2 linked regions of the Oryzias latipes genome follow. The protein of the gene in region 2 purifies or fractionates together with the protein of the main gene of each other region. This does not show direct contact. Links are inferred from orthologs where the notes say so. Each region holds a gene or a part of one and is shown on either strand. Other genes may lie near its edges.

Region 1 (12,990 bases), on a different chromosome or scaffold from region 2:
CCATTTTAACCAGTAATATAAGCAAACTAGAATTAATGACAGACAAAAAGAAAAATATTGAAAAAAAAGACAATAACTTTATTTAAACAGACAATTTTCATAGACAATATGGGAGTTTGTAGAACTAAAACATCCTTTTGGTTTCCAAATTTGAAGCTTAACAAAGCACTTTTCGTTTTCTAAACATCCAATACCCTATAAAAAGTATAAAACCAAATTTTCTGTTGGTAAGAAAAAGTAAATTATAACCAAGCTCCATCCATAAACTAGGTATATGGCTCACTAAGTGAAATCAACCCAACAACTTGTATATCTTAAAAACAGATTTCTTTTTTTTCTCCTTTTTTTAATGGACCGTGAGAGTCCAACTTGCTCAAATCCAAGCCCCAGCAGACAGCATCTTTACAATAAACCTTTTAAACTGGGACAGGAGGTTATTAGTTACTAGATTACGGAATAAATGACCAGAACTGGAGGTGATCTGGATGTAGTTTATGTACACGGGCAGAGAAGTAACGGGGGCCATGATGAAAATATCATACAGCAGTTTTGTGTAGCAGAGAAATTAAACCTTCTGCGTGGAATTCTGTCGGCACAACTGAGAGTCGCAGAGAGCCAGCTGCTGGGTGGCGTGGCATGCTGGCGAAGTTGAAGAGGAGGCTGGCAGCATGTGTGGCTGATTAAATCCGGCCCCCCGTCTGCTGTTGAAACACATCAATTGTATCTTCATCTTCCATTTCCAACTGTTGATAAAAGGGGACAAAGTGTCATACATACAGACATACCTTTCAGACATTTAAATACATCTAATCTTTAAAATAAGAGGGGAAATTCTCTACAATAAAGGGGGCAAAAAAAAGCAAATGTCATCATGTTCCATTCATGTGGAATGTGACCTTGGGCTGACACTCTGCCCCCTGGGCATATCAAACCCCAAAGCTGCATCAGAAATGACAGTGCGGGATGTTTTTATGACTACAGCATGCACACAGATTTGCCTTGAACAGCAAAAATACCACTTTAACCTCAAACAACAATGGTGTGGTTACAATAATACAATCATAGAAGTTAATTCAGTGCATGTGCGTTGGCCGTCGTAACAAACTCTACAAGTGGATAAAGGTTTCCGTCAGACATCTGAATGTAGATGATAAATCCTCTCTGCCTGTGGCAGAACAAGTTTCCCATGGAAGCGCTATTATCTGGCATCAAGACATCAAGCACGGCAAGCTGCTGCTTGAGGATATGAAATACCTGCATGGCCAACAAGTTTATTCATTTACACTTCAATATTCGGAGGGTTTTCTGTTTGCTCTAAACTGCAGTGAAGTTCTAGCCCAGAAAGCAAAAAAAAAATAAATAAAAAAATGGAATAAAAACCAAAAAATAAAAGAAGTAAATGGCCTGGTTTTCGTTAGAAATCAAAGAGTTTCTTAACCAAAATGTGAGTGTTATCTTGTTCTGGTTGCATTACTAAGAGAAAAATAATAAAAGAAATAAAATGAAAATAGGTAATAACAGAATCACATCATGGGTCTTAAACAAAAGAAGCCTAAAACATATGTGCTCATTTCTACAGAGATTCATGGCTTATTGATCAAACCCAACAAAAGAACCTCATGAATGTTTTAAACCTAATACATTAATTTAGAGGCTGCATTGATTTAGTCAGACCAGCTTTGGAACAAGAACTAAAAACTAAGGAAGTCCCGATCCGATTCAGAGTCATTTGATTTTGAGTATGTACCGATACCGAGGCCTGATCCGATATTATTGTAACACATAAAAAATGATCAAATGTAATGAAGTCAGGTTATCACAGATTTTTACTTTATTCACTTTCTTTAATTATTTAACACTTAAACAATTTGCCGCTGTGAAATAACTCAAAGAATCAAGCAAAAGTCGTAAAACTTTCAACTACAAAGAACAGTTAACTATAAACTAGTAAAAAATAGGAAATAATTATTCATGGGAGAAAGTTTGGTGACTGTAGCTTTAGTATCCTCAGAATTATTGAACATTTTTGGTTCTTATGTGATTCATACTTGCATTAAAAAGTCATTAAAATTAATGATGACTGTCTTTTAAAATTGTTGTTGTAACATAAATATTTATGAATAGCTCATATCAATGTAACCATTTATCAGTTTTAGTTTTTTTTAAATGGATTTCTTTTTTTTTTTCATTTTTAAATAACTTTTTCCCAGAGCTTTCACCTTTCACTGCCGACTTTCTGTCAGCAGCACGGAGAGAGCAATTCTCATTAAAAAGTAACCAAAGCTCGATCCCTTTTCTTTTTAAACGCCTTTCTAAGTTGTTGTTTGAGTTGAGACAATGACACTCGCTGTCAGTTTAAAGTGCTCATTTAAGAATTATTGAGCCTGAAGGTCCAAATCTGTGAATATCTTGCTAACCTTCTCAAACTGTCTTTCAGCGCCTCCTAGCCTCATTGTCTGCTGCACTTTATGGCAGTAAAACGTTGGGATCCGGTCAGAATTTGAAGACATCTGGTAAAGTGTTTATCTGTAAAGTTAAGATTGAAATATATAATAATGATAAAATAAATATCCGAGTCCTGATCTGATCGCAACATCGGATTCCAATCGAGTTTGAAACTACGTGATCACATCGGGACACCCCTGCTAAAAAAGATGAAAGAAATATTGTTCAGCCAATTCATCAAGATTTGCCTAATTTATGTTGCAAGTATTTAGCATAAATAGATAGATATAGCTAGCTAGCCTACAAATCTACTCAACAAGCTATTTATCTACCTATCCATTACTTTTATCTTCATCCACCCATATAAAGGATTTTTGTTATAACACGTTTTTGGGATAAACTCCACTGGCAGCAGGTTTTGCATATCATCAGTCCTACCTGTGCAGGTGTGTCTGTCTCATTTATTGGCTGTCCGTCGAATCTGAACCTTATTTGCCTCATTGAAAGTCCCTGCAAAGACAATACTTATTAATTTGTAGCAAAAGGCCTGCTTTCCGTTAGAGTGACTGGAACACATTTCCTGTTCATATACATAAAAAAAGCAAAAATTGTGTGGTTCTATTAAAAAAAACAATACATGTAATAAATGTATTTATTCATAGTTAATATACTAATTAATATGTATAATGTCACATGTTATGTATTATTAGCACAGACGTGAGACACTGAAGGAAAGACTGTTTTCCTACAACAGGTCAGAGTTGATTCACATTACACTGACAAACACACACATGCTGTGTCATACAGAGAAAATCAAGCTGTAGATTAAACAATAATTCAGGCTTTCAACTATTAGAACCTCATTTAACTTATAGGTTACATTTTCAGTGAGTAGAGAGAATCCCAGATCCTAAAGGGATAAGATAAGGAGTTTTTTGTTATTATTTAGAAAGATGTGAAAAGATGTAAACATTTCATGGTAATCGAGTTATAATCCTGAAAAACAACAGCGTTTATGAACCCGTTCAAAAAAAACAAAGCAAAAAAAAAAAACTGCTGCGGCGTTTACAAGCCAATACAAGAGCTACGAGCAATATTTTATATTTGGGTTCAGTTAGCTCTAACTTTTTTATAACTCAATTAATAATTCAATGAAACACACACATATATAACATAGTATAAAAGAAAGTAACAAAAGTCTCACATAAGATAATAAAAATGTAGAATGCATCATCAAATTAATATTTATTATAAATAAATACCTGACCTGCTTTAAATTCACAGACTTCCTAATTTTAAAACCCATTTGTATCTAAGCGATCATAAGTTGTTGTTTTTTTTTCCACAATACTTTTGCTTATATAGGGATATAAAAACATATTCCTTGGGTAATACAAAGTTTAAATGATCTAACTACTTTTTAACGAACCTTTACTTTTTGTATAAGCGTTGTGATTATGATAGTTTTCCTGAATCGCCACCGTTTTGTGTGTTTGTTGTCTAATAGGGGATTATACTTACCTGTCTCTCACAATATGCCTTCATAAGTTTGATGAGCGGTGTGTGTCTTTTGATCTTGAACTGCACGACAGATCCATCCTGACCTGCTACCTTTAGATTTATGTGTTCGTTATTTTCAGTCTTCACTCCTTCCTACAAAAAGAAATAAATAAATAAAGAAATAAATAAATAAATATTGTAACGGTTTAAGAAACAACAAACAGGACAGGTCATTTTAGACACAAATAACAGTGGTTCCTTGCATAACAAATACCCCACACACAAAAAACTATCTGCCTTGGATGCCTGCATGCCTCGCAAAACAAATTAACATCACGTAACGAAGCCTGTTTGCAGCGAACAATTGATTTTCTGGGGGAAAAGGCCAAATCCAGACAGTTGTGTGCCGTGTCATTCAGATGAAGACTGTTACCCTTCGGTGCAAGGCTCGGTACAGTGCTTAAAAGCCGCCAATCATCCCCATCTCCTGGTTAGGTTATTGAAAACAAACAGACTGGACGCCAGTGTGATGGCAAACCTGGGCATGTTTGTTTTTTCCTCTGTTACACAATGCAGGCCAGAGCCTCTGGTTGTGATAAATGGTACAGACCGTCCTCTGGGCAGGACCACTATGGCAACAGCAGCCAGTCGCACCAAAACTACATCGCATGTGGGATCATAATCGCCCACTTACTTGTTGGTGGCAGGTTCCCATGAAAACCACAAACACGTGTAAATAAAACCATAAAGGTGGTGCAGCAGGCATTAAGAAGATAAAGCATGTTTGCCCCCATTTGGTTTGGTTTCTTCTGGTTTTTCTTTCTTGAATATTCTTTTTTTTAATACTATTTTTCTTTAAATTTGTAGAACGGATGACATGATTTTCCAAAGTCGATGTGAAATCTGGCAATGTGTGCAACATCGCCACAAAAAAGAGGAATAATGTAGGGAAATAAAATTTCCAGCTCCATCAAAAGAGCGCCGACAGGTGAGACGGACTCTCCTTGAGTGGCCTAATATTGAGTGGAGAATAGGTCTGTTCTTTAGCTTCAACAGGTTGAAGTTTCTTAGTCACCCTGGCTGGAAGAACTTAGCCAAAGTCTGTTTCTCCTCCATTTTTGAGTATGTTCCTGAAATGACCATGACCTTCAACAAATTCACTAGTCTGTAGACTTCAGTTTGGTTGGGGTGCCACTGAATGGACGTCTTGGTCCTACTTCTTAAGTGTGTTCTTGATGGTGATGGAAGGAATTGACCTTTTGCTCTTCTCATCTTCTGAGGAGAGTCATCCCCTTCTGTTTTTCCTTAATGGGTTTGTGTCCAGGAGGTCTTTTCTCCTCCTTGGTGATGCAAGTTGGGTCACTTCTTCCAGAAGAGGCCATTTTTGCTTCAGTTGAAAAGCTGATGAGGGCTGTGGCCTTCTTCCCAAACTAACACCTGAAATTCTCCTGCAAACCTCTCAGCAGCAGCTTTGTCGGTCCTAGCTACCTCTCCGTGCAAGGCCACTCAAACAGCCTTGGATTCTTCTTCTTCTGTTTTAGCTCCTTCTGCATTTGTACTTCTTTATTTCTTCATACCCTGACTTTCTCGCAGATGAGCTCTGCCTCCGTCTGCCTCTCATCTTCATCTCTGAATAGTTTTCTGACCTCGTTGCTGTTCCCCCGTGGTCATACAGTTCGGCAGGACGCACCTTGAACGTCAGGTGCAGCTCGATGGTTTCTTTCTTTGTTTCAATGCTCAGAGCTTTTCTGACCATTAACACACCTATTGATAGGAACCATTTTTCTTGGGGTTCAACATTCAAAATTTAGAGACTAAGAAAAAAAATTAAGAAGACCTGTCCTCCAATTAAGAAGACCTTTAACTTAAGGAAACACGATCCAAGACACACAACAAGTCACACCTATGTACCTGGATTTAACCATTCTGTTGTACCAGAAAAAAGTTAATTTAATTTATTTATTTACAAAAAAGGTTCGTTTTGTGAGGCAAGTGGGTTGCAATGTTTATCATGCAGATTGTTTGTTCTATAGTTCTTTATGTTTGTCAGAGTGGAAAAATAAAAAGATAAAATACCAGAATTACCAGGGATAGAAACATAATTGTAGGCCGTATGAAAAACAGATGCTAAAAAACACGTATTCATTGTTAAATATTAGTTTCAAGTATTTGAATATTTTATTTTTGGTATCCAGTTGTTATAACCCGTTTTCTTCAACGAGTCAAGCCAAAGTGTTGCAGACTGACTAGAACAGTTTAGTCTAGAGACTAAATACAAACAGTTCGTTTTCTTGTTTATTTTTTCCATTCTGGTGCGTCATTACAAAACACAGACAACTTAATTACCACACAAACACAACGCAAGAAAACCGCAAGATTTATAGAGAACGACACCAGCTGGTTGGCGGGATGTAATCAGCCTAAAAGCGACGTGCGCGCCAGTCCATGCGCGCTCACATACCTTCCGGTCCATCAAAGTAGGTACAGTTGAATCTTATCACTTAACTTTTTTATTTAAAAAAATACGAACAGCACACGCGGGAATGTAAATTCACCTTTAAGATCGGCGATCCAGTTAATTTGTAATAGCATCGTAATTGACAATGGGGTCACTTACCTTTGGTTTTTCATCAGCCATCGTCACTCTTTTGGCGCTTCTCTATGCTACCACACAAAGAATATGAGTGCGCGCACGTACTCGTTCCCGTTTAAATTATTCGGGGAAACGTGCGCGGGCATGTGTCAATGCGCGTTCACTGAACAAGGATTTAATTGGCCGCATGAAGTCACGTGGACTAAAGCGCAGTCTAGTTATGGGCGGGAGACTACCGCCTGCGCGTTACAGAGATACTCGGCTTCACATGCACGCGCACGGCAGAATTTTTCCCTTTTGTTTTTGGTTTAGGTCTATTATATACGAAGGAAATCTGTTCATCGTCACGCCGAAGACTAGTATCAGTGCTGCACGTTTCATAAAGCGCCCATATGATCGGTATTAGATGTACAGCGTGATATATTAGTACTCTCCTTATTTTAACCCCTCATTATAGCCCAGTGGCCATCTTGGTTTTTCTTTCTTTTTTTGTTACAATAAAAAACAGGCACCGACTAAACGACAACATTTACCGATATGGCGATATATTTTCTAAGATAGCTAACTTATATAACGTTTTAATGTATATTAACAATATGATACGATTGTATCTTCCTGATTCTGAGAATATGTTACACGTTTTCGGAATAAAATTACTTCGACTTTTAAATGTATATCGATTCTAAAGATAGTGTTATTTGCTTCAGTCATGTCAGTTTTCTTGACGTAGATTAAAAGTAAAAGAAAGTACTGTACTTGCAAATTTAAAAAAACAAAAAACAAAACAGGCATTAAGTAGGACAGTCCTACATTTGACGCATGCGCGAGATAGTCGTAGAAAAAGAGAGGCGCGCAAGCGTTGCTATATTATAGCACGTGTTAAATGGCATGATTAAGGTGAAAAAGTTCATAGTTTGAAATTTAAAAGGATCTAAAAAGTTTCATCCGATGGAGGAGGTAGACGTTGAACCGACGATAACCGTAAGTCTTTCGTACTATGTAGTTTATTGTTATGCGCTATCGAATAGCAGCTAACAAGTTAGCTAAGCATTTTGAATTTTGTAAATCCTAAAATTCGGAATAAAAAAATACACTAGTAGTTAATGATACAAACACAAAAGTTTATGATGAAATGTTACGGACCGACATTACGAGTTGGAGGTTTCGTAGCTAAAACAATGTCACAGTTGACATGTTCTTGGATATAAAGAAACAAACTTGGAACAATGGTTAGAAAATCAAAATGTAACGTTATTTTTGTCTTCTACGTTTTGTTAAGTTATTTTGTGCTTTGTCAAACAAAGAAAGGTAAGTCTTTTCCTGGACATTTTTGAGTCCAGTCTCTGTCTTAATGTCAAGGTAAATAAATATCCTGTTGCATGTGTCCAATGGATTAAAACTAAGAAAGGCAAAAGAAAACCATAAGAGTGTTGGTTGTAACATTGCAACTAATAGGCAATAAATCGAATGTTGTTTGAAAGCCAGGACATTTTAAAATGATTTTATTTTATTTAAGCTTTGTTTAATAGGGACAGTGCACATTAATGAACATCTACCAAACAATGATTATAGGCGTAAACATGCTGGATTATAGCAATGATGCTAATTTGCATCCCTAGTCCCTAGGCAGGAAACATAAAACAGGACAAAACAAAAGACACAGTCACAGATACAATAAGAACACAAGAAAGTGGTACATTATGAGAGTTAAAAGTCAGTGGTTACAGGACTGGTTTGCTTTCAGCCACTGCTTGAGCTGTGTTTTGAAGGTCTGTAATTATTGACACTCCCTTATGTACAATGGAAGACTGTTCAAGAGTTTACTGGCCTTTACAGAAAGAGCGTTTTGTCCAAAGGCTGTTTTTCTGTGTGGAACCTCACAGTCCCCTCGAGACGAGGCCCTAGTCCTGAGAGCGCTGTGAGACCTTATTTAAAAAAAGTCAGACATGGGAGGCGGAGCAAGTCCATGTAACACCTTGTACATCAAACAAGCGAATTTAAAATTTTTAAAATTCTCAAAGCTCAACAACTTGTACTTTTTCAAGATATTACAAACATGGAATGACATTGGTTTTCTATCTAAGACCTTAAGTGATTGTTTTATAAAGTGATTCTATGGTTTTGCTCGTATTTACACCCGGCAAGGACCAACATGTAATACAGTATTCAATATGTGATAGAATCATTGAATGCAAAAACATTCTAGCAGCTCCAAGTGAATTTTTTTAATATGGCTCTTGAAGCTCAGAGTTGAATCAAGTGTCACACCAAGATACTTAAATTTAGATAGAATTTCTAGTTCCCGTTCTTCCAAAAATATACCTGAATGCTTGATGTCCACTGGTTGCTTAGTGAACATCATACAAACAGTTTTAGTTGTATTTAACAGTAAGCAAGATTTAGAAAGCCATTCATTTACAGGAACCAGAGCTGAGGTAAGAATAGAGGCTGCTTCTTGAATATTTTTTGCGCTAGTGAATATGACAGCATCATCAGCATACATTTGAAATTCAACATTACCACATGTGTTTGGCAGATCATTAATATACATAGAAAACAATAAAGGCCCAAGTATTGATCCCTGTGGTAGACCAACAGGGACATCTAAGAGAGTTGATTTGACACTGTTAATACAATCACACTGTTTTCTGAATTCTGGATATGATTTTATCCACTGAATTGAGTCCATAGAAAAGTTAGACAAAAGAATCTCATGATTCACCGTGTCAAATGCCTTATGATTGTAAAGAACGTACTTTTGCAGGATTTTCAGTAGATATTGATTGAAAGTCTTTTTTTTAAATATAAGGAAACAAAACTTAGTTAGATTGAATCCCAAAAAGCTTTGCTACAAGATAGAAATGGTCAAATAAGCACTTTAGTGATGTTCAATAATGTTCTATTGAATGTTGCAGAGATTATTACAATTGGAAATCTGTGTTATCACTCTCAATACAGAATATTCCTGCACTCAGAAGAGGAAAGCATATGGGCTTTGCATGGGGTCAAGGTAATATCTTTGTCTATGAGACCCTCTTCAAAGCAACAGGTATGTGTTAATTTCAGTTTCAATACTTTCGCAAGTCTTCTTGCTTTGTTTCCTTTCTATTGTCTTGTGTTTCAGGTGCAACAGGATCTGGTTCCCCCTTCATCCATGAAGTCCGGAAAGATGAAGACATCTACTCTCCTATTTTGCGCAAACTCTTTAACGAGTCGCATCACATTTTTGTTGGCTTGCAAACAATCAGGGAGGATCTGCCCAGCAAGAACAAGAAACCTCAGTAAGTCTCCTGATGAGAGACCGCTCAGCTTACACAAATAATTAGTTTTTATTGACATTTTCTTTTTAATTTTTTGATCAGTGGGATGACATAAAGATTGAAAAAGAAAACAGGCAAAACATCAACATGTAACTATTTCATGTCAAACAGTGTTAAAGTAAAAAAAAAAAACAATTCCTGTTTTGCTCTATAGGTTTGTCAGCATCAGTAAAAACTATAGATCTGTTATTCGAGCCTGTATGGAGGAGCTGCAGCAAGTTGCAGGTTAGCTTCTTTAAACTGAATCATGAAGTGTATCTTCGAATCCTACAGTGTAGTTTTTTATAATGGCATGTACTTTTTTGTTTGCAGTTTCCACAAAAAACGCAGAGATGTCCGTACAGTATGGAAACCAGGCACGTGTTTTTATTCTTTAGTTTCATCTTTTCCTTTTTAGAAATTGTGATTAGTTTAATTTTTTAACTTATTAACGTATAATAGTTTTTTTCCTCTTCTTTTTAATCTTTTTACTATTCGTAATATTTTTTTGTTTCCTCGGATGTGGATTTTAGTGGTCTGTAATAAATACAATTCAAATAATTTTGTGTATAATTTGTTCTTAGGAATTAAAAAATGTGTATTTTTTTTAATGATTTTTAAATCAACCAAGCAGACGTCGACTAGTTTTGATGTTATTTCAAACTGCATTTGTGAGATCTTATTATACTAGAAATGTCTTCTGTATGATCTTGAAACAAACTCTTATTCATGTCGGAGCTTGTTTATTTTGGATTTTTGCTTGTCGGTACAAATATAAATCATTACTGATCTTTTTTGTGGGTAAAGCTGTCATTGTGCCATTATAATATGTTTTAAATGACATATTTTTGTTGCATTTTAAATAGTCAGAGCTCATCTGTATTTTAACCCTTGACTCATCAGTAACATTTCTCTTAAATATTATTTAGTTCCTAATCCAGTCTGTTTTGTTGCAGGTCTCCATTCTTTTAGCTATAGAACTGATCTGGAATCTGTGTGAAGTCCTTTTCATCGATGCTGCTCCTGGTTAGAATCTCAGTTTTTAGTTAACAACAAAATATCTTTTATTATAACTAAACAAAGGCAAGGCTCCATAAAAACCCATTCATGATTGATGTGTGTTTTGCATGCTTTCAGCCGGCTCGCTCCTGCTTCACCTCCTGGACTGGGTGAGGCTGCACAAGGCTGACGTAGACGAAAAGGCTCGAGACGTGCTGCAGAGTGACAGCCCTGCTGAGCATCGAGACTACTGGGATGTGGTTAGTGCGGGACATGCACACACACGATCCGCCTCCACTGGAGATCTCTGAGAGTTTCGTTGTGCTGTGCAGGTGGTGAGTTATGTGCTGCAGGGCAGGTTGGACGAAGCCAGACAGATGCTGGGGAAAAAGGCCACCCTAACGCCTGCTGCAAACAACATCTACAAGATGATGGATAACTTACTCAGCAAGATGCCTTTTTACAATGTAAGTACAATGGGAGTTATCTGGTTTTAGTCTGTGGGTTAAGAATGACTTATGGTCATTTACCTGCCATAAAGGTTAAATCTAAGTTGTGGCCTCCTTAAGAGGAGTTTGCACGACGACTCCTGCATCAGTTTCTTTCTCTGTTTTGGCTGAGGGACTGGTGACCTGCCTTTAAATGTGTTCAAACACATAACGAACCAAACAATTTCAAAATGTCCATTTTCATCCTCACATGTATGTCTTCAGCCTGGTGGCACACAGACACTGACAGAGTTTGACGTTAAGTGGAGGCACTGGCATGAAGAGGTAGACCGCTGCTTGCAGGACAACTCTTTTGCTAGCAACCAACATCTGGAGGTCATCTGCAAGGTCAGTCCATCCGTTACTACTTTTTATGCTATCGTGTATTTTCAAAATGCTAACATTGTTGGTACTAATGTAGGCTTTTCCTAAAAATACGCCCGTTTCTGTTAACAGTTTTAATCACTTCAATTCTTGCTAAATCCCAATGGGCTGATATGATGCATGCTCAAATTATGAAGCTATCGCCGCCATGCTTCACTGTAGGCAATTTCTGGGATATTAAATGTGTGTTTTAATTTCTAATCTGGCACCAAAATACATTTTAGTCATTTAGCAGCACCAGATTAATAAATTGGTGCAAATGTTTCAACTATATGATATAAAATGTTTCAATAATTTCTGTTCTTTATTTTTTAGATCCTCCTGGGTGATGAAGACACTTTACTGGAGCACAAAGACCTCCTGGGAACCTGGTATCACTTCCTTGTCTCAAGACTGCTGTTCTGTCATCCCACTGTAAAGCCCACTGAGTTGCACTACTATGCACAGGTGAACTATTCTACAAAACTTGCACTCATGTCTGCTGCATCCAGATATTAAGTGTACCTGTGTGTTTTGCAGTCGTGTATGACCATGTTTCTGGACTCAAGGAGCGCACCAGAACCTCTGGACAGCATCTTGCTGGCTGCCTTTGAGTTTGACATCCATCAAGTTATTAAGGACTGCAGGTGCAACAATGGGACTGATGCATGCAAGTACACTTATTTTAAATCTACTTTAAACATTCAATTTCTTCCTTTTGCCTCAGCATCGCTCTCAACAACTGGTGGTTTGTGGCTCATCTGACAGACCTGCTGGATCACTGCAAACTCCTCCAGTCTCACAATCTACAGTAAGAACCCTGTGTGCAGATTTAGTTTTTTAGTCTGGAGGTTAGGACTTCTTTTATTCAGTGTTTTTCTGTGTTTTTGCAGCTTTGGTTCCAATTTAAGAGAATTCCTCCTGTTGGAATATGCCTCTGGCCTCTTCACTCATCACAGGTTGGTTTGTTTTTTAAGTCCTCCTTTTAATTATTTGAATTTTTCTGTGAAGGTTTTCCCTTAAAGGATGTCTTTTTGTTTGTCTGTTGATCAGTCTGTGGCAGTTGGCTGTGGATTACTTCGATCACTGCCTCGAGTTTGGTCGTGTCTACCTTGAGCTCCAGATTGAGCGCGTTCCCTTAGACACGGAGCGGAAAGCACTGAAGGTCCTCCGCATTTGTGAACAGAGGCAGATGTCGGAGCAAGGTTCTAAAAGACTCTTTATTCTGTAATCACCTTGGTTCCAGAAATACCATTCAAGTTGAACTTTCTTTCGTTGAGTTTGGCATTTGAAATGTGTTTTT
Region 2 (13,036 bases):
CACTTTTAAAAAGATTCTGTCTTTTAATTTGGACAAAACTTACGTTTGTCTGGAACCGTTTTTGCATTTTCACAGTAAAGACTTTCAGTGATGCTGAAAAATCCATCCTACACTTTTTCAGTTTCAACTTTCTGATCCGTTTGATTCGCCTTTAAAAAAACAATTTTAAACATCAGAAACATCTTTTTGCTTCCTCTTCAATTCAGAAGCAACAGCTAAGTTTTACAAAACAAGATTAAAAAACGTGCTTTTTTTGAACAAAACAAACAAAACGTTAAACCTCGAAGACCGAAAGATCCTTCTAGGATTTATAATTTAAATAAGGAACATTAGTGGAATTTATTTTGTATTTTGTGTTTGTTAAAATCAGCCTCTGGGTCTGAAAGATTTGTGGCTTTAACTTCCGGATTGAAGCTCACTTTGAAAGCAAAGTAACGGAGCCAGGGCAGTTTACCAGGTAACCATCAGGGGTTTGTAACGAGTCTTTATTCAGCTAAATACAATATAATCAAAACAGACAGAAATTCCTTTTTTATTTTTTTTAAATATTCCTCCTTTTGTATATTTTATTTTACAGAATTTCTTTTTTTAACTAAGAGCATAGTTTTATTTTCTTGTTACCTCTAAATGAGTCTATTTGAACCCAAAAAAATTCCAAACAAAGACATACGATGTGGTGGAAAAAGAATCAACGGTTGGTAGAAATCATAGCTGAGACCAAATCTTTATGAGCAACTTTTAGGCAATTTCAATCCGGAATAAAATAATAATTCTAAACCAGACTGTAGGGGTGTATTCAGACTTGGAAAAGTCCGTTGGTGTGGTCCGACCTGAACCGTGCATTTGGTCTGTACTCAGACTGCCTTCGACCGGGCTGTTCTGGTCCAGACCAAAGCTTGTAAACAAAACCATGTGACTACAGATCTCCTCAGCCATTGGCCGGGAATTACAAGGGCGGGGCAGAGCAGCTAGAGACAGACATTATGGAAGTCCTGCGGTTTGCGGTCCTTGTTGGGATAGTTCCTTAATTTCAAAGTCAGGTTCACCGGTTTTTACTTTTTACTAACAGCAGGACGGTTCCTGAAGAGACGACGACCGAGAAGGAACGCTGATAAATGTTTATGATTGTTGGGAAACCAGTAAGAAGCCACGTGGATCACCTTAAAAGTTGTTTTTTTAATGAGTCTACCTTCGTCCGACTAAATTTCAATGAATTGCTGAGTCTCATTGTCGTGGTTGCCACCATCCTTCTTTGCATCCCATAATGCCCGGCCGTTTTGGTCCAGTTGTTCCGTTCAGAGCACAGATTGTGTTCAGACTGAGGAAACTCAGAGCAAACCGCATCTCAGTCTGATTGGTAACAAACCGAGACCAGCTCCAAAGATGAGTCCTGGAACCGCTTGGGTGTTTTCATACGGAAAAGTTGATCCAGATTATCACGGGAAACAACTTCTGGTTCACATTAAGAGAACCAAATGTGCCTGAATCCACCATAAGATTGTTTTTCTATTGTTCGCCCATTTTACATTCAGGGAAAGTAGAGCCTGATCTGCTTTGCGCAACAATACGCCTAGTGATTACCTTTCAAAGTGAACTGGCTCCAGTTACTTTTGTTTTGGAATGGGCTTCAACGTGGAAGTCAACAATCAGCAGCGTCTAAGCTACGTTCACACCACCACTGGCAACGCGTGTTCAAGCATCTGCTTCCAATGAAAAGTTTATGCAAACGTGCATTTCAGACGTCTACGTTTTCGGCCTCTATGTAGAAAACGTGCGGCCAATGAACGCGCGTTGAAAGTTAAAGCGGTTGAACTTTCACCAATCAGGGGCTGGGATTTGGCACGGCGTGAGGGTTACGCCTCCTTTAACCCTCCGGTCGTGTTCGCATTCAGCCCCCTACTTTAGTGTTCCCGGTCAAAATTGACCGGTCTGTTTTAACTCATGGAAGTGCCAACCATTTGAAAATTGATGGTGGAGGAGAAATTACTAATTGAAGTTTGTTTTCGGCCAGAACTCTGTGACACCGTGAGGAAAAAGGTTGAATGGTTTCCTGTAGGTCATGTGACCTCAGGGCAGAGGGGTAAAGCCAGAAGGAATGACCTCTACGCACCATGAAGCAGGAAATAGTCCACCGGGGTTTTCTTCAGAGCCGCTTTGGCCTTTTCAGTCGTCCAGTCCACCTCCAGAGCCTCCTTCAGGGTGCAGAAACTGGCCGTCTGGCGGGACAGAAAGTTTTAGAAGATGCTTGACTCAAAGATCCTCAAAAACAGACGGAGGCGCCGGAAAGGGCAAGCTGGAGCCACAAGCTCTACCTTCTTCACCATGGTGGTCTCGTTGGGATCGACTTTGGCTTTCTTCGCTCCTGGACCATCGCTGGAATCTCCTGACGGTTTCACCACTTTAGGTTTCTCTCTGAAATAAAAAAAAAAAAAAGCTGCTAAGTTTTTATAGAAAACCCCCTGAAAGAGGAACTAAAAAACACAGGAGATGCGTTCTCCTCTGAACTTATGATTAGAATGGAAATTTCTCTTGAAAAGTGTGGAACATTTGTGCATTTTTGCTGCACAAAAGCCAAAAAATGTTGATTTTGTCTGTTTATGGAAATCTTGCTTTCATTCCAGAAGAATTAAGGGTCTGGAACAGTTTTCTGAACCTGTAAAACAAAACAAACAAAAGGTAAACGTCGCCTCGAAAGAGCCCGCCCACTCACTCCACGTAGCTGTACTCCTGGCCCAGGTTGCAGAACATGTAACCGTAGTAACCGTACACATCTCCACAGAAAACCTTGATGCGGTGCTGAGAACAGAGCTGGTCGACCCGAACCATCAGGTCTCGGGAGCAACCTGTCAGACACACCTGGGGGAAAAATTAAAAGGGCGCTCATTAGAATCTGGCCTTCAAAGTAAAGCGACAGGAAGCAGAAATATGGTTTTTTTGTAAATCTGTCCACAAACGCGGGAAAAAGCTACAGGATGCAGGAAAATCAATATACCCCAGGCTAAAAGACACGCCCACTTTCTCAGTGGAGCTAGCGGTGATCGCCTAAACACTTTTATAAGCTCAATATTCACATCTATCCTTGCAAAGTTTAGATGTCGTTTAGTTTTGTTGGAGAAACGCTGCTGCCGAGGCCGCCTCTAGGATGACGTCATGAAATGGGCGGGGCCGACTATAGGATGACGGCATGAAATGGGCGGGGCCGCCTCTAGGATGACGGCATGAAATGGGCGAGGCCGACTCTAGGATGATGTCATGAAATGGGCGAGGCCGACTCTAGGATGATGTCATGAAATGGGCAGGGCCGACTCTAGGATAACGCCACGAAACGGGCGGCACCCACAAGGAGAGAAAGGCAGAGCCTCAGAGATCGAGTCGTCTTACTTAAACGAGCTGTGAAAAGAACTCATTTCATAAAAAATCTTTCTGTAGTGAGCCAAAGATAATATACTATCATTCACATGGGAAACGTTTACCCTGAAAAGCTCAAGAAAAGCAGGATAAAAGACATTTCTTTACTAGAATCTGGAAACTTTTTCACTTTTTTTCCGATTTCTCTCCTTTGGTAGAATCTGAGACTCTTCAAACTGCTTTGATGGAGTCAGTTCTGAAGGACGATGAAGAACATCAACATGCTTATCTGGAGGCGGGGACGCCATCAGGCGGCTTTAACTGTCAGGGAGGAGCCTCCACCACTTTGTTTGCCTGGAGGAAATGCAAAACCCAAACGGGTTTGGAATCCGTACCATCAAAACCAAACAGACAAAAGGTTTGCAGGTGACCTTTGACTGGAGAGTGGTCCAGGCAGCAGAGCAGCTGCTGAGCGGCCGGACGCTCCACCTGCGGCGGATGCCGACGCCGTTGGGAGTTTATGGCTGATGTGGAGCCGATAAGCTTCTGCGGCCGAGCGTACGGCAGCCAGACGGGGGTCGACGTTTGCTGAACATTTGAATATTTTACTGCCACACTGTGATAAGGTGTGTCTGTGTCTGTGTGTGTGTGGGGGGGGGTTTCTATTTCCGCACAACAGGAGAGTTCAGAACGCCACGTCCAAACCAAACCGAAGGTTCGTGTTAATGCCAAAAAACCAACAAGAAACCCGGAATTAAATCACATCTTTAACCTTTTCTTGTTGGTTTTTTTTCGTTCTCGCCATCTATTTGATTTTATGGGTTTTCCTTTATGATCACACTTTTTTTTCTTATTGAACTATTTCAAAAGAAATTTCAGGATATAACTCAAACCATCCAAAAAATGACGGCAGCCCCCAGGGGTTCTCTACAACGTCTAAACAAAATAATAAAGACACACATGTATACTTATTGATATGCCTAATAATAGCTGACTATGGGAAAAAAAGGGGGCTGTGATATGTAGCCAACTGAAAAACAAAACAATACAAATGTCTGGGTGGGGTCAAACGCCCCTGCGTTCGTTCACCTTCCCAGAACTCTGAATTTTAACGGCACCGCCGCCGCTGACCACATGACCAATGTCGGAGACCAGGCTCTGTTACTAAATCAAACAATATCTTAGAAATTCCAGTCCAAAACTCGTGAACGGGGCCACATTCCCACGTCACATGTGTAAAAGGAATTAAGCGAACGTAAATGAACATTTGGGCTCTGAACCGTCCCATAGGATACATCACAGCAGGGGTCTGGGACAGAACTGAAAGTGTATACGCTGGCGGTTTGGGTTCGTGGAAGAAGTACAAATACTTTCACTACGCACACGTTGCACATTTTCCACGTATGAAAATTTGGTCTTTCGTGATCCATGCGTGATAATTCATGAGTGTTTCCTGACAGATGTCCGTCAAGGGCCAAAACATAGCTTTTATATCTCGTATTTGTCGCACATATCACGTTCAAATTTTTTGTCGCACAAATGTCTGGGCACACTGAAGATTTAACGTTAGTTTTCGGGTTCTTTGCGTGGTTTATTCGTACTTCTTCCGTGGTTTTGACGTGGCTCATTAGTGTTAGTCATCTGTGAAATTTTCCCGTAAAGATCCACAACTTTTCCCCTTTTTCTACATATTTTCATGTATGACCAACTTTTATCTGTGTAATGTGCACAAAATGTGGCTGTGCGACACGACCTTTCATAGCTTTACCTACATTTTTTGTGTATTCTATCTAAATGTTCATGTAAATTATGCTATACTCTTTTTTTTGTGGTTTTAGTTTTTTTTTTAAAGATGAGCTGATCTCATTGTTGTGTAGAATGTGCTGCCTAAAGATGAAGGTGTTTATGCTAATGTGGGCTTTAAGCTCCATCTAGTGGTCAAACTTGGAATTACAATAATGGAAAATTCATTTTAAAACTGAATCTTTTTTTTTTTAGTGGGCAGTAAATCTTTAATATTAATTCAAACTCATTGGTTGGTTTTAGATAAACTTCTTTTGTTTCCACTCACAGCATCAAACTGCAGGAAGAAGTCGTCCGGTTTGTCCTCGACCCTCCCGGGGTCGGCGTGCACCTCCACCATCGGGTTGAGATTCTGGGCTCGCTCCAGCGAGGCCTGGGCTCGGTTCTGACCTCGAGCAGACACCGGAACCAAGAACTGAGCTCGACACGACTCCTCTGTCACCTAAAAGAAACAGAAAGTCAATCCACGTGGGATAAAAACTGGACTCTTGAGACCCAACCAAACCCAGTTCGATCAGTCTGGGGGTCAAAGGATAAAATAATCGATTTTATTGAGTTCAACATTTCACACGGAGCTGCTTCTTGTGGACAAATGGGGTTAAGGAAAAGCCTCCCAGCTGCTGGTGTGGTTGTGTTTACCTGTTCATGATCCAGCAGAGTCAGACCTTTAACTCCAGCCAGGATCAAGTTCTTGGCCACTTCAGCGCCGAGACCACCCAGGCCTGCCAGGAGAACCCGGGACCCCCGCAACCTGCAGAAGCCACAAACAGGACGCTGCTGAAAGGAGGTTCCAGAGGAGAAAGCCAGTCCCAAACGGGTTTAAGGTGAAAAATATGGAAGATTACTTTTGGAAAGACAAAGAAAAAGAGAGTTTTTCTTCCTCTGAGTCTGGATCGTGGAGAACTTCTGATTTCTGGAGAACATTTTTAACAAATCAAAAACATCAGGGATGCAGCGTTGCTGTTCTGGCAAAGAACAGGACCAGAACCTTTGAGCTGCAGCGTTTCAGTGGAAAGAAGGCTTAGGAGGAGATCCAGGAGGTGAAGAAAGGAGCAGGAACTTCTGCACCTCAGAGCAAAACATCACTTCATTTTTTACTTCACGTTTTATCTGAGCCATTTTAGGTAAGCAATGGTGTTCAACAGGGAGGGATCCTCTCTCCATTTTTATTCAATGTATAAATTGATGATCTTTCTACGAAGTGAAATCTGTGCAAACCTGGGTGTGTTTTTGGATGTCAAACCTTTAACCATCTTATGTACGCTGATGACCTTGTCATTTTTTGCCCTTACAGTGCGGGGAGACAAAAACTTTTAAAAGTTTGCTCTGACCACGGCAGAGACTTTGATATAAAGTACAACCCTTCTAAAAGCAGAATAATGATTGTTAAGACCAACGATGACAAAAAGGTAAACTTTCCTGTTTTACAGCTTTGTGGAAAGCCTCTGGAAGGAACCTCATATAACAAATATCTTGGACATTTTATCACTGATGATTGGACGACAGAGACATTCAGAGACTGTAAACTGTATGCTCAGTCAAATATGCTGATGAGAAAATTCAAAAAGTGTTCTCTTCAAGTGTAGCGTTCGTTGTTCAGAGCTGACTGCACTCCTCGGTGGTGGAATTATGGACGTGGGGCATTCTGTAAATCTACAGTGGCCTATAGCGATGCCTTTTGGTCTTCTGCTACGGGTGCCCAGGTGGTACACAGCGAGTCAGCTGTTTATGGACGCTCACATGACATCCCCACCTGTGAAACACCACTACATTATTAGCTGACAGCCTCATGGGGCGCCTGGACAAGTCTAAGAATGCAATTATCATGCTGATATCAGGGGAAGCTCACGCCGCTACACCTCCACCCTGGGGACAGACTGGGCACAGATTATACTCTAAATGGGTGTAAACTGTAATTTTGTTTTTTTATGTATTTATTTATTTATTTATTATTTTTGCATGTTGTTTCTGTCTTCTTTTATGGACCGCATCTGAGTGTGCAATAAAGTGAGTTATAATGATAATCACCCAGGAGGAACCGTTAGCATCCGAGGCTAGCTAAGCTAACTCACCTCTTCTGGGCATCCAGCCCCCACAGACGGATCTGGCGGTCATACTGCGCCGCTTCCTCCTCGCTGATGATCGGGTCCTCTTTTTCAATCATGTCGATTGATTTCTTCCCAAGGAAAGTCTTCCCTTTCGGAGAATATTAGCTTTTTGAAGAGGGGCCAAACCAGTTCGATTCAAACGCGGCGACGGTCCCGCTGAATGGTCGCCGGGTTATGACGTCATTTAAACAAACAACAGACTATTTTCTAAAGAATAATCACTTGTCATCTTTTTGAAATTATTTTTAAACCCTTTATTTTTTATGTCAATAATTTGTATATTATATATCATGTATATATTTGTATTAATATAACATATATGTTTGAAAAAATTCTTTTTTGTCCCCCAATTTAAATTATTTGATTTCCGAAAGCAGAGAAGTATTTAAAGTATATTTCTTTATTGCTAAATGTGCTAAACTAAACTGATCCGAGCTCCTTTGATGTTTCTGTTTGATGAAAAAACAATTTTTCGTTCTCTCTTTCTCTCTTTGTGTGCCTTTGAACACGTTGTTCTAACTCCCTCAGTATTGTCTTTAAGGAAACTCCCAATGAAAAGGGTGACATATCGTTCCTGTCGCTGTCTTGCTAAATTTGAAACAACTTGGTACCATGTTTTAGTTACATTTAGTTCACTGATCAAAACCTTTATCTAGCACAATATAAAACGTATCAATAATATTGAAAATACCAGTAATTTAGCTCAATGACTAAAACCTGAGATACATTTTATGACAAACTAACCTCTTTATTTTTGTCCAAATAAGCACTATTTGGTTAAATTGTTGTAAAGACGTGTAAACCTTACATTTGACAAATAGATTGAAAAACTGGAAAAAAGGTTAAGCGGTGCAACAAAAATGCTGAGCAATATTGAAACTATCCAGCCAGACAGTTCTGAGCCAGATTCCAGCTCAGATAACGAAAATAAAGATGTTTATGAATCTATTTGTCTGCAACTGGATTCATCTGAAATTAGCAGAGCAGGATTATCTACATAATAAATTGTTTTCCAATTTTTGTCTGCTTTCTAATCACAAAGATTTGAACAAAGAACTGCCCTTTTATGTCCTCTATCATGAGGAAAACGCTACAAAAACATGTCAAAAACACAATTTTCATCGCAGTGGGTCTTTGAGGAGAAACTTTAAGTGCTCCTTGGCATTTTAAACCACTTAATTCCGGCTTTTTAAAATTAAGTGTATGTTTTTTAAATATAATTATTTTTATTATTTGTCTACGTGTAGTCTTGAAAAGCATTAAATTCAAAAAGCTATCATTTTTGCGCTATTTTGTTTTGGTAGCTTTCATTTCAGCCTGCAAGACAAACTCCGGGTCACACGAACAGCCTGGCTTTGTCTTTCGGTTATTTTCGTGACTCGCCAACGTCACGATCTTCGACTCGGAAAGTCCGCCCCTTATTTCTTTGGAGAAGACGATCGGCCATTTTAAGATAATCAGTCGTCAATTCACGTCGCTACAGTAGGACGGAGAACGTCAGGATTCAATTTCAGCATATTTCTCTTACAACTGTTGTGGAGAGTTGCCTACTATGAACTGAGTCTCTTCCTACAACAAAACAAGTAGATCCTAGTGAAGTGACGCATAAGCCAGTAGATTCTAGTGTCGAGTTGTAATTTTTTGCACCTCAATGTAGCTAGAGGAAATGGCTGTGGAAAGCATGACTGTCCATCCAAACTCCCCAACTACCTACCACGAACACAACAGTCTCCTGACTGACGAAAGGTCGAGTAATTCTACAATCATATTTAAATGAAATTATTTATTTGTCCTGAGCTTTTACACAAAAGCCCGGGGTTTCTCTCTTTTTTTTTTGTTTTGCATTTTTTCTCAAAGGGATTAAACTGGAAAACGAGCACAGAGGTAAAGACAACGGCCATGTTGGTGCGACAACTGGAAGGCCAAAAGAACAAGGAATAACGCTATTCCCCGTATTTTATTTACATTTTCACAATCATCGACCAAACGACCGAAGCGACCTTTTTTTTTAAAGGAAAAAAGACCCAAGTCGAAAGACCAAAAACACGAGTTTTCTTCACAATTCTGTCATGACAAAGAATCGGACTTTTGCCACACGAAAATGCTAACTTACGTTAGCTTAGCCTGCGTTGTATTTTATTTTTTTTGGTAACGTTTGTGTTTGAAAAAACAAAAATGAAAACGGCGTTTTTTAAGACAATATTAGCTTGACGGCTAAAGATAGCATGCTAACCTAGCTAACAGAACAAAGGCTAAGCTAACGGCTAAAGTCGTCGAAATGAATTTTGGGTCCACTTTACGCTTGTCGTATTACCCAGTTACTACCGCTTCAATTTTAAAAGTTTCTTTAAAAAAAGCATTTTTTATTATGACGATTTTCGATTTCATTGAAGCTAATAATATCCGTTTAAATTACTTCATCCGTTGACAAGCTAGGGCTAGCCGACGTAACTGCGCATTTAAAAAATCATGTCTAACATGGCGAGATGTAGCTCGTTAAAACCGTAAGTTATACATTTTTATGTTAATTGTGAACTATTTTAACTGATATTTTTTTTAATCTGCAATGTTTTATTTAGATTAACAGACCCCTTTTATTCACAGTTCAAACTGGGTCGCCCTAGATCCAGAAAAAGTCCCCAAAACGTCTGCAAAGCATCCCTAAAATGTTTTAAGTCAAACACCCCCCCAAAAGAAAGAAAAGAAAATCCCTTTTCCACAACTGGAAGAAAAATATACCCCAATTTCAAAAGCCCCTCCCCACTAATGCCCCTTAAAGGTCAGGGACATTATTTTTCTCTGAGGGTTTGAGTCCAAAATGGGAAGAAAGCGTGTCACAGTAAGTATTCCCCATTTTCATCACGGCCCTCTGCTTTCAGAGTTCCAGGCGTTGTGGACTTTGTGCATAGTGAAGGCCTGGCTGGACCCCAATGGTCACCTGTTGCTGTTGTTGTTGGGGGGTCTTCTCTGATTGTGTGGAGTCAGAGAGTTTGTGTTTTCCTAAATGTCTTTGTTTGCCTGCAGACTGTTGGCAGCAGGTGATGAGTGGTTAACATGAACCCCCCCCCCCCCCCCCCCCCCATTCACTTCAGTCTGCTGCCATGCAGCCAAATCCCCATTCTGTCATAGAGGCCCCCCCCCCCTGCAGTGACACTAGAGGTCTGTGTCCCAGAATGAAAGCACGGGACGCTCCTCAGGTTCTGCTGACGTGAGGAGGTCCTGACCCGCTTTCAGGACTGGTGGCAGAAAACTGCAAAGGAAAAGTTTCTGCATGTGAAGTGTGTGAAACGGGTCAGAGGTGCTTCTTCAGTGTGGCGTTCACATGGCGGCCGGTTTTACCTGAACCTGTCTTTAAATGCTTTGTATGGAATACGTGGACCTCGTGTCAGTCTGCATTAGGAGGTGGTCAAAAATAACCAGGGTTGATTACTGTCTCAAACAGGAGAGGAAAAAGTGTTTGTCTGCGATACTGCAAGTTAAAAAGTTGAGTTTGATCTGTAAGGTTCATCCTAGAAACACTTCAACTCGTACAGACGGAAAGTAAACAAAGAATCACTGTTGTTTTCCCAACTTCTTTCATTTTTTAGAGGATGGAGGACATAGTCTAAAAAGAATTGAGCTTAAAATTGCATTTCTGTGTATTTATTTACTCAAACCATCGTGAATCAGGAGCAGATGCAAAAATGCTGTTGGAAAAAGCTTGTAGGTGTGATGTAGCAGCAACTATGGCAAGCCGTAGGCTCCCTGCTCTGCTCCATTCTGATGCATCTACCTGCAGACAAATAGTTCCATGTGCGTCTTTGTTTTCTTCGTCTGAGCTGGAATCTGAATGTAAACTGTCCGGCTGGATGGCTACGGTATTGCTCACCGTTTCTGTTGCACCGCTAATGTTAGGTTCGGGGTGTGAAGGGCTGTAAGCTAGCAGGAGAGAGTGTCAAAATATGGATGATGGGAAGGTAGGGCGGGCCTACTCCCACACCAGCAGTCCTGCCCACAACTGAGAGGCGAGTTTCTAATGAACTCCTGCTGCTCTGTAGAAACTAGAAAACCACAGTTTGTTGTTGTTTTTTGGGGGCTTAAAAAGGACCACTGGGAACACTTTGGAAATATATCAAGTTGATCAGATTGAGACTTTAAAGAGTTAATTTTTGAGTATTTAGTCAATAGTAAAAGTTCAGCTCAATGCTTTGTAATTAGATTCCGGTTGGTCAAACATTTCTCGTAGGGCTTTATCCGGTTTAGCTGCTATTTTGGTCCATTCCTCCATGCAGATCTCCTCTAGAGCTATGAAGTTGTGTCTGTTGCTGGGCAACACAGACTTTTAACTCCTTGAGGCCTGAACTTGCTTGTTTTTGCTTTCAAGCTAAATTAAAGTAAGTTTGGAGCAGAAGTGCTTTGATTCACATTTGGATCAGTAAGTATCAAGGGGTTAACAGATTCTCTATTGGCCTGAGGTCCACAAACCCTTCCAAAACCTTAAAATTATTTTTATGTAGCCTCTCCTTTGTTACCATGGTGATATGTTTGGGATCATTGTCCTTCTGGAAGATCTAGCCATGTTTCATCTTCAATCTTCTCACCGATGGAAGGAGGATTTTTTTGGGGCCTATTCATCCTTTCCTTGATACAGATCAGTCGTCCTGTAAAGCAGCCCCAAACCATGATGTTTTCCACCCCATGCTTCACAGTGAGTATGGGGTTTTGAGATGCTACTCAGCATTCTTCCCCAAAAGGCTGCAAAGGGTTTTGATACCAAAGAATTCCATGTTGGTTTCCTCTGACCCAGTGACCCTGTCCCCATCCTCTGGATCACCCAGAAGGTCTCTGGAGAACTGTAGATGGGCTTGGACATATGCCGGTTTCAGCAGGTGGTCCTTTGGAGCTCTGCAAGATGACAGAGTGTGTCACTATAGTAATCTTTGTTACTGTGGTCCCAGCACTTCAGGTCATAGACCAGTCCCCTGTAAGGGGTTCTGAGCTGTATTCTCATTGTTCTCTCGAACAGGGGAGATCTTTCATGGAGCTCCAGGTGGAGGGAGATTACCAGTGATTGTGTATTTCTTCCATTTTCTAATATTTGCTTCAACAGTTGATCTCTTCTCACTGAGCTGCTTGTTTATAGTAGATTGGTTTATCCTAGTCTAGATCAGGTCCATAATCTGGTCCCGGGTGTCCTTTGACAGCTCTTTGGTGTCGGTCATGGTGGAAAGGGTTGCAGTGGGTGTGGACAGGTGCCTTTCATTCGGATAACCAGATCGGACAGGTGACATTAATACAGGTAACCAGTTGAGGATAGAAGTGCTTTTTAAAGAAGAAGTAACAGCTTCTTGCTTGTTTTTAGGAGATAAAACCTCATTTTCTCCTTCATTATACAAAGAAATTCTCTAAAAATCCCAAACTGTGATTTCCTGGATTCTTTGTTTACATTCTGTCCCTCACAGTTGAGGTTTATCTATGAAGAACATTGCAGACCTCTGTCATATTTTTAAGGTGGATTTGTTGTGAGTTCATGTAGATTTGAAAGGTTTAGTGCATTGAGTCGTTGGTTTAAACTGGTGTGGTTTCTCTTGTGTGTTTTGGTTCATTATTATATACAAAGATCTTTGGGGGATTTTCTGTTGACAGTTTGAAGATACTAAAAGCTGTAGACTCTTAAACTGCAGGAAAATTGTTCTACTTTTCAATGTGAACTCTTAAAATATACGTTTTAATAGTCGTGGATCCAGCTGAATCTTTCCCATTTAGAAGAAAATATTTGTCGTGATAATAACTGTAAA

Evidence for each region.
Region 1: the proteins of sae1 (region 2) and sumo2 purify together in Homo sapiens (affinity purification with mass spectrometry; 3 studies listed by BioGRID and IntAct, with this or other methods). This does not show direct contact. The link is inferred for Oryzias latipes from reciprocal best matches to the Homo sapiens genes SAE1 and SUMO2.

Annotation. Positions count from the first base shown.
Region 1 is NC_019866.2:13,017,481-13,030,470, reverse strand, and holds sumo2 (small ubiquitin-related modifier 2), read right to left. Parts: upstream 6,602-12,990; 5' UTR 6,584-6,601; coding exon 6,563-6,583; intron 4,099-6,562; coding exon 3,967-4,098; intron 2,956-3,966; coding exon 2,884-2,955; intron 744-2,883; coding exon 681-743; 3' UTR 664-680; downstream 1-663. Other genes in the region: nuclear pore complex protein Nup85, read left to right, coding at 7,487-7,519, 9,497-9,587, 9,663-9,819, 10,013-10,083, 10,171-10,214, 10,794-10,863, 10,975-11,096, 11,169-11,303 and 6 more. UniProt on the Homo sapiens protein: Ubiquitin-like protein that can be covalently attached to proteins as a monomer or as a lysine-linked polymer.
Region 2 is NC_019871.2:4,083,702-4,096,737, forward strand, and holds the start of sae1 (SUMO-activating enzyme subunit 1), read right to left. Parts: upstream 7,457-13,036; 5' UTR 7,316-7,456; coding exon 7,224-7,315; intron 5,903-7,223; coding exon 5,791-5,902; intron 5,594-5,790; coding exon 5,420-5,593; intron 2,857-5,419; coding exon 2,711-2,856; intron 2,413-2,710; coding exon 2,313-2,412; intron 2,217-2,312; coding exon 2,111-2,216; intron 1-2,110. Other genes in the region: zc3h4 (zinc finger CCCH domain-containing protein 4), read left to right, coding at 8,926-9,005. UniProt on the Homo sapiens protein: The heterodimer acts as an E1 ligase for SUMO1, SUMO2, SUMO3, and probably SUMO4. It mediates ATP-dependent activation of SUMO proteins followed by formation of a thioester bond between a SUMO protein and a conserved active site cysteine residue on UBA2/SAE2.